Linked DNA regions of Coturnix japonica. The protein of the gene in region 1 purifies or fractionates together with the protein of each later gene. This does not show direct contact. Links are inferred from orthologs where the notes say so. Each region holds a gene or a part of one and is shown in the gene's direction. Other genes may lie near its edges.

What was found.
Region 2: the proteins of ASB9 (region 1) and CUL5 purify together in Homo sapiens (affinity purification with mass spectrometry; 6 studies listed by BioGRID and IntAct, counting the BioPlex papers as one, with this or other methods). This does not show direct contact. The link is inferred for Coturnix japonica from reciprocal best matches to the Homo sapiens genes ASB9 and CUL5.

The regions. Positions count from the first base shown.
Region 1 is NC_029516.1:110,029,197-110,033,450, forward strand, and holds the start of ASB9 (ankyrin repeat and SOCS box protein 9), read left to right. Parts: upstream 1-1,286; 5' UTR 1,287-1,575; coding exon 1,576-1,669; intron 1,670-4,254. UniProt on the Homo sapiens protein: Substrate-recognition component of a cullin-5-RING E3 ubiquitin-protein ligase complex (ECS complex, also named CRL5 complex), which mediates the ubiquitination and subsequent proteasomal degradation of target proteins.
Region 2 is NC_029516.1:161,332,490-161,336,833, reverse strand, and holds the start of CUL5 (cullin-5), read left to right. Parts: upstream 1-1,483; 5' UTR 1,484-1,765; coding exon 1,766-1,789; intron 1,790-4,344. UniProt on the Homo sapiens protein: Core component of multiple cullin-5-RING E3 ubiquitin-protein ligase complexes (ECS complexes, also named CRL5 complexes), which mediate the ubiquitination and subsequent proteasomal degradation of target proteins.

The DNA.
Region 1 (4,254 bases):
TCTGCATTTTTATGAATAAAAAGAATACTTGACTTTTGCTGGACTCTCCTTGCACTGCCTTAACCCCACTAAGACTGCTGCACAGAACAGTGATTATGGAGGGGACAGACAGGTCTCAGGGGACATCCAACTCTGTAGCAAGAAGTACTTTGTAATGTAGGATATTTCCAGTCTGGATCAAAGACAGGGAAATTCAGCACAGGAACTTAAGTTAGTTAATTCTAACTTAAGTTAGAATTTGGTTTATTGAAGTATCACAGAATTTTTGGATTGCAAGGAAGGGATCTCAAAGCCCACCCAGCCCCAACCCCTGTTGTAGGCAGGGCTGCCTCCCACCAGCTCAGGCTGCCCAGGGCCCCATCCAGCCTCGCCTTGAGCCCCTCCAGGGATGGGGCACCACAGCTTCTCTGGGCAGCTGTGCCACCGCCTCACCAACTTCTGAGTAAAGGATTTCCTCCTAACATCAAACCTAAACCTCCCTCTTTAAAGTTTAAAGCTATTCCCCTTTATCCTACCCCTGGTAATTTGGATCTTTAGATACACACATGCAATTTCTGCTCTCCTAGACCAATTTTTATCAACACGAGTGAGATTTCCATGTGGCAGTTCTGCCTACTTTCACCTGTGCACAAATGAACATATACTCAGGTCCTCTGGAAAATCAGTTGCCATTTGTTGATGAATTTGTGGTTCTTGTTTTAGACCAAGAAATTGATTTAAAATAAAAGGACAGCGGTCAGATATGAAACGCTTCGTGTGACTGTTCCAGGGAAACCGTTTGAAGTGAGGAGGAAGAAATCAGCCCGCTCAAGAGCTGCGCTTCCCCAGCCACAGAGACAACAAGGAGCTTCCAGTGGAGAGCACGGCTCGGCGAGCACCATTTGGTTCCAATATCCGCACGGCACGCAGTGACCACCGCCGTGCGGCAGGAATTCGGCACTCAATCCTTGCTGGGGTCCCGGCTGCTGAGATGGGGCGGTGGGCTCACACGGGGCAGTGCTAGGAGGAGAAAGCGCAGCCTGCAAACCGCTCACCTCGGAATGGTGAGAATCGCACCGGTGTCTCTCTGGGTTTTCTTTGCAAATCCCCCGCAGGCAGAGTTTGCTCAACTAGTTGAACTGGCTCTTTCTCCCTTGTTGTTTTTTGTTTTTTGTTTTTTGTTTTTCTTTTCTTTTTCTTTTTCTTTTTCTTTTTCTTTTTCTTTTTCTTTTTCTTTTTTTGGCAAACCAAGAATTTCCTTCCTGATAAAAACAGCCGGGGCCGGCTCCCCGATTGGGTGAGGGGTTGGGGAGGATATGACATCAGGCACATCTCTCTCTTCGTGCGGTGTGGTCTGCCTGATCGCTGGCTGCTTACCAGCACGGCCAGGGAGGTGTTTCCCTAACTCCCAGCCCAGGTACTTAAGTTTCTGCACAAAGCGGTGTAGTACCGAGTCTCAGCCTGCGGCCGGCTCCTTTGCGCTCATCTGCTGGGCAGATCGCTCCTGCACGAGGGGGCTCGCCGTGAACGATGGAATATAAACTCCTTAGAGTTACCGTGAAGTGAGAAAACAGACACTGGACAGACGGGGCTGAGATGGATGAGGAGGGAATGAATCAAAACGGCAGCAAGTCGCAAGGAGCAGGAGGCCAGGTGCCTGCAACGACTCCATCAGAGGTGCTGATGAGGGGTGAGTAAGGCTCCTGCCTCTGTCCTCACGTCTGCTGGCAACAGGAGCGGGCAGAGTCAGGCTGCAAAGGCGAGCTTCTATCGAAGTTACACTTCAGTGCAGATCCGCAGCCACATCCCCTTGCTCTTGCACTCCCAGAGGGATGTATTAAGCTCGATACTGATTTCTCTTGTGGTGTTTTTTTTTTCTTTCTTTCTTCTTTATCTTTTATTTTTTTCCTGGTGCATCACAGAAAAGCTGTCACATTCTGTAGTGCAGTTCATGCAAGCAGAAACAAATGCAGTAACTGAACTACAGCAAACTGGAAAAGAGATTGCAGTGTGACAGTGTGTTGAACTTCAATTGGTGCCAGCTCAGCGCTGGCTCAGTTCCTCTTTTCTTTTTCTTTACTTCCTCTGTATTTTTATCTGCTTTTTATTTCTTTCTCTTTTTTATTCCTTGTACCCGCTTCTACTTTGTTGTTTTTTTTTCTTCTTTTTTTCTTTTTAACTTTCTTATTCTTTCTGGTCAGCAGGACCAACTGCCCTTGCCCAGACACAGCCACTTGCCCATACAGGTTCTTCCACAATATCTATGACCTGGTGATCAGCTGTGACCAACACTGTTGTAGTCAGTGGTGAAGTTATTCAAATAAATGCCCTCACTCTGACTGTTGCTCTGTTGGCTGGCCCAGAGCCATTGAAAATACAACACAGTGACCAACCAAGGAGAAAGAATTTATCTCTACACAGCAGCTTAGCTAATGATGTTCCCTGCACCCCCATTTTCTGAGACACCATTCCTTCAGTTCATGGTCAGTGAAGTGGGATTATGGAGGGAAATTAAGATAATATGACTTCATAGTGTCCTTCTTTCCAGGGCTATTGAGAACACTTCTATCCTTAACACATAGAACAAAGAGACACTGAAAACTAAACAGAGGCAAACTACAGTTTAAATATGAGCAGTGTGTTGGCTGTGTTGCCTGCTGCTCCTCGTGTGTGTGCATGTGTATGCATGCACTGAGGCTAGGGTGGGAGTGAAGGGAAAGCGACGTCATTACAACAGTGTGAACCAAACCCAATTCACATGGGCCATGAGCTCTGCCAAAATGGAGCCTGGGAGGGAGAAAGCCTACAGGCAACATGGGTGGCTTGGTCTGTTGGGCGCTGGAGCTCAGTATGTTCCTCTTGCTCCTGCCTGGCTCTTAGCAGAGCCAATAAGCTCTGCTGGTGGCTTGCAGTGGGAATGTATTTGGCTACATATATCACGGGTGTTAGGTGAAATCCTTTAAATATGAAAAATACCACTCATAGTATTGTTATACATAATGCCATAGGCTTATGTAAATGTAAATGTGTATGCAAGAGCATGCTTCAGCTGAAAGGATTTCAGAGCCCCTTGTGAGCTACACTGTGTAAGGCTACCATGAAAGGAAAGCAGCCTAGGGAGTCACTGAGCGTGTGGCACCCTCTCCATGATCAGAGACTGGAAAAATGTTTTCAGCCTCTACCACAGAATGAATGCTCCTCTAGAAATGTGCTGTAAGGATATCCACAGGCAGCAGTCAAAGCTTGGTTGTTCATGCAGTTACTGGTATAAGGCTCCCTCTATACCTGCCCTGCCAGGTGGATGCAGTGTCAAGTAGGACCAGAGGTTTCATGTAACCTCTGGGCTGGCTGCAGTTTTCAGCAGTGAAAGGGGAGCTGGATGGCCCCAAGCCACAAAAAGTCAGTGGGTTTTGGATGCTGAAAGCCATGAGGCCTGACAGAGCATAATTGTGGATCAAGGTGCAGGCAAATTTCAAATATGGATTAACAGTCTCATTTTTCCATGAGAGAGCAATTGTACATATTCTGGGAGACAGAAATCTGCTCTGCTGTGGCCATATGTGCAGTGAATGCAACTGTGCCAACTGTGTACACTGGCCTTTCTTCTCCATGGACTGCTCTGACAGCAAAGTATTTGAAGAGCTTTCTCAAATGTCACTGTTAGAGAATTTAAGAAGTCTAGGGCTAGTTAGCAATGGCAGTTATTTAGGCTTTAATCAGGTGCCTGTATATGGTAATAATAGGGATAATTTATATTACTGATACTGTATCTACTGTGCCATGCAGTCAACAGGACCTTTCACCCTTTATTCACAATTTACCTAAGATGATCTTAAATCTGTCTTAGGCCTCCACTTCTATTTAAGATAAAGGACCCAGTCCTGCCTAGTACAGGATGCCCAACCAGGTTAGGACATCCTTGCATATACCCCTTTTATTTTCCACTGACACTGATCACTCTTCTAATTCACTGTTAAGAATTTATGAAATTAGAAGTTAGTGGTCATTCCACAGATCTCTATGATCTGGTTTGGAGTCTTAATGGAAACTTGTTTTTTCCTGAAGAAAACACTGAGTTGGATGGATAAGGGCTGCATGTGTAAAGTATTTCCTCAGACCTTTATATTAAGCTGCAAATTGAGGAAAGGTATGTCCTGTTAAATGCATCACATAATGTTTTTGCCTGTCAAATAAATCTTTCATAAAAGCTCTTGACATGACTTAACAGGTTTGTTACCAAATTTAATCATAAAGGCTCCCTCCCATACCTCCTTC
Region 2 (4,344 bases), about 51 Mb from region 1:
TTGGTTGGTTGGTTTTTTTTCTGGGTAAATGATGTCTAATTTCTTCCACACAAAAAGAAAGTTGAAAAACATCACCAAATAGTGGCATTATAACCAAGCATGTTCTTAAAAATTAAGAGAGGTGATAGAAACAGAAAGGAAAACCGAATCTCAAATAATTGCAAATAGTCTCATTTCAAAAGAGCTTGAGGAAAAGAGGATGGACCAGGTCATGGGGCAGTGGCCAGAGATGTCTACATCCACACCACAGCCTATAGAATACCTGCCTGTATCTCAGCTTCTCTGGTTCACAGACAAAGGTACCTGTAATGCAGTACTCACACTGTGCTTAATGCACACATACACAATGCACACATTCTACTGACCTTGCCAGAGACCTCATAATATCAGCACTGCTGTGGAATATGTACACAATGGACAGTATGTGATACACTTCCATCTGTATTATCTAGTTATATACAATACATACCATTGTATAGTTGCATGCTTTATGTATACAATGAATATTGCATATATACTTAAATGAAAGTTATATTTATTCCATATAACAGACTTATTGAAGTATTCTGAGACTGGAAACTTTGTCAAATAAGAAACTTTCCAGTACCTCTGTGTTACTTCTCAGTTAGGAGAAGGCCTTGATTAGGCTATTTATTAATATAATAAGGCTGCAGGCCTTAGTTAGTCAACACTACTTAAATTTTCAGAGAGCAGAGATTTGTTGAATGTTGAATGTAGCTTTTCTATGTAGCTAACACCTTAGGGGCTCTATGCCTTACAGTGTGCGGGGTGACCTCATTGCAGCCTTTCAGTACCTGAAGGGACACTTCCCAGGAGGGAGTAAACTCTTCGAAAGGGCTGACAATAGCAGGACACGGAAAATGGATCCAAGTTAAGAGGGAAGATTTAGGTTGGATGTTAGGGGAGGTTCTTTACTAGAGAGATGTGGTTAGGCCCTGGAACAGGCTGCCCAGGGAGTTGTGGATGCCCCGTCCTTGTGGGTGTTTACAGACACAGGTTGGACGGGCCCTGGGCAACCTGATCTAGTTAAAGGTTATGTTTGGTGGCCCTGCCAGGCAGGGGGGTTGGAACTACATGATCCTTGAGGTCCCTTCAACCCGGGTCATTCTGTGATTCTGTGTAAGCAGAGGGAGGTGTAGGGCTCTGTCCTGAGAGGTCAGAGGAAAGTTGAATTGTTTTCTTTAAGATACGTTTTGGATGAAGGATGCCTTTTTAAACAGGAAAGTAAAATTATGGCTCCTATGGCCACACGCTGAAGAATCACCGAACAGAAAAGCTGGGAAGCCTGAAGGGTCCATGAGGAAAAGCGCCCACCCCCCCGGGCGCCCTCAGCTGGGGGAGCGCTCTCGGGGGTCGGCGGCGGCCAGGGGTCGCTGCAGGCGGAGCTCCCGCCCGGGCCTCCCTCCGCGCTTGGCGGCGGGGCCGGCTCGGCGGCGCCGCATCATGTGGGCCGGCCCCTTCCATGGAGCCGGGGCTGCTGCCGAGCGCCTCCTGGGCGGACGCCGCCATGAGGCTCTGAGGGGCGGCTGCGTGCGGAGGAGCCACCCGGTAGAGCTGCGGAGCGCCCCGAGCACGGTGCCGGCCTCGCCCCCGGGCAGGGGAACCCGGAGCTGCGGCCGCTGCTCCTGCTGCCGCCGCCGCGGGTCGGGCCGGGCGGGCGGGCGGCCCGCGGCCATGTAAAGCGGCGGCGGCCGGGGCAGAGCCGAGCACGGGGAGAGGAGCCGCCGTCGGCGGGGGGGAGATCATGGCGACGTCTAATCTCTTAAAGGTGAGAGCGGGGCCCGGCCCGGCCCTGCGCGCGGGGAGAGGCGGCCGGGGCCGGGCTCTGGGGCTGCCCCGCACCGGCTGGGCCTGCGGGCGGCGGCACGGGCAGGCCGCGGCGCTGCGCCCCGGGCGGAGGGGGCGGCCCGGGCCCGGCCTCGGCTGTGCGGCTCGGGGCTCGGCTCGGGGCTCGGCTCGGGGCCCGGCCGGGCCGTGGCCTCCCGCTCCCGGCTCTGTCCGCCCGGGCTGCAGGACGGGGTCGGCCCTTTGTTTATTGCGGGGAACCCCGCGGTGCAGAAAAGGAGTTTAGAGTTGAACAAAGAGTTGGGCAATGCCTTCGCCGCGAGCAGGTGTCGCCGGTCGGGTTGCCGGCGCGTTCTGGCCTTTTCCTTTCTGCTAACTGCGCTTTGCTGCGAAGGAAAAACTCCTCGAGGCCTTTAATCGGCTCCGCTTTGGGGGTCAGATGTTCTCAGGCCCGTTCCCGGTGTTTGGTGGCAGATGTCACTCACCCCAAACCGAGCCAAGTTCGCACACAAGTTTTGGCTGTCACAGGCCGTGCCCGGCCCGGGGCTGCCCGGCCTGAGCTGGGCGGCGTGTGCGGGGACCGGGCCTTCTGTGGCCTCCAGGGCTGTGCCAACGTGCCCGGGGCCGGCCTGCCCCACACAGCTGCTCCTGGGGCGTCAGCCTGATTGAGGTGCGAGGCCTTCACAAGGCACCAGGTTTACTTACTTGCAGCAGTTAGCACTATAAAATGGCTGTATATTTAGAAGTGTATGTGTGGCCGGTTCTATGTATTATACTTAAGTAGAGTTCTGAGGAGGTGCTGCTTGCATTTCGCCAACCTGACCTGTGCTGGGTTTGTGGGTTTGCCCTGAAGCTGTTCTGAGACACTCAGTGAGAAGGAAAGAGGAATAATCAATAGCCTCATGTCTTCCTCACGCACATATACACACGCTCATATATATATAAATTTATTGAAATTGACATGCAATGAAAATGAGTTTTCATTCAATTTTCCTCCCTGTTGTCTAGATATTAAAGCAGATAAGACCAAACCGACTGAATTCAGGACTGCAGGAGAAAAGCTCCACGTCCCGCTCAGAGCTATAGGGGCAAAAAGGGGGTTTCTTTAGGAGAGCGTGGCTTTAAAGCTTGGACAAGCTCAGACAATGTGTCTGCTTGTTATTGCTTTAGTCCACTGCTGAGGGGCTCTGGAAAGGCCTATGTGTGCTGTGACAAGACGTGGCTGTATAGCTTGTAATAGCTGGAAACAGGCCTGTGAGATCTGTCAGCATTCCTCTTCAGCTCATAGGAAAGAATAAGTGAATGCTAAGTGCAAATAGAGTCAAAGGCCTTGCTGTTGTGAGATGGCTCTCACTGATCTGAAGCTGTTTTGTTGCTGTAGTGGCATCCCTGCAGTTGGCCTTTAAATCATTAGCATTTTAAATGGACAGAAAGATACACGTGCACAGTGTGTTTCCGGAACAATGCTACCAGGGGGTTTAGAGCACCTGGGAGTATTTTCTAAGCCGTATGTCTTATTAATTAGGGAGTTTTCTAAAGACAATGAACTACGACTGTTGCCTCGTGAAAGAGAAGGTCATACAGTGATTTGGCTTTGTTTGTAATGACACACTAAACCAATAAGATAATTGTGACTGGATAAGGGCTTTTGTTCCCCAGCTGTGATGCTCAGTGTGCTCCCATTGCTGTTGATTGCAGGTTGTTGCCCATTGGCAGTGCCTTATGCTGACTGAGATTTGTGAAATGCAATTCTGCTTTCATGTTTAGGGCAAAGAAAGAATAAAAAAAGAAAGAAAAAGCAAACAGTGTCCTCTGCATAGTGAAAACGTATCAGGTTTTTTGGTATTAAAAACAAAACCCCAACACACGATCAAACCCACGTCAGGTTTAGGCGGGTCTCAGTTTTGTTGGGATAAACAGGAACTGAGAGTTTGCTGCTTTTCCCCGTCTTCCCTCAACCTTCTGCACAGCCGAGAAAATGAAGTGAAATGCTCCTTTCTTACTCTTGTAGTGAATCCTGGCTGAGCCGATCCCTGACAGCCTCTCATCCCTTCACAGGGCGTCGCTTCATCTTTGCTAGTGCAGTTTTTAATTGTGAAAGGTGAATTAATTTGTAGGGCAGGTGTTGGAGCGTCAGCTGTTGGCTTTGAGGTGACGATTGGTGATGTGAAGGCACACGGGTTTCTCTGCAGCTCCTGGGACAGAAAGCGGCTCAGCTTATCACAGCGCCAAGGAAACCTGTAGCTGTACCCACGTGAGCTGGTCTTGATGCTTCTGTAGGGCTTGTTGGAGCTGCTGGAGGTGGCAGCAAATGCAAGAGTTGGTGAGAGCAAGTTGAATTGCAGTCTGAGCCTGGTGTTAGGGGGGAGGCAGCAAAACAAGTAGGTTTGCAGTAGGCTTAAATGAGAACCATGATCTACCTTTCATTTGTTTCAGCTGTGTTTTGTGGGTCGTAGTGCTCTGTCACTTAAAACTGGAAACATTTCTGCATTTTTCTAGTTCTTCAACCTAAAATATTTCCAGATACGTTAAGTTTCT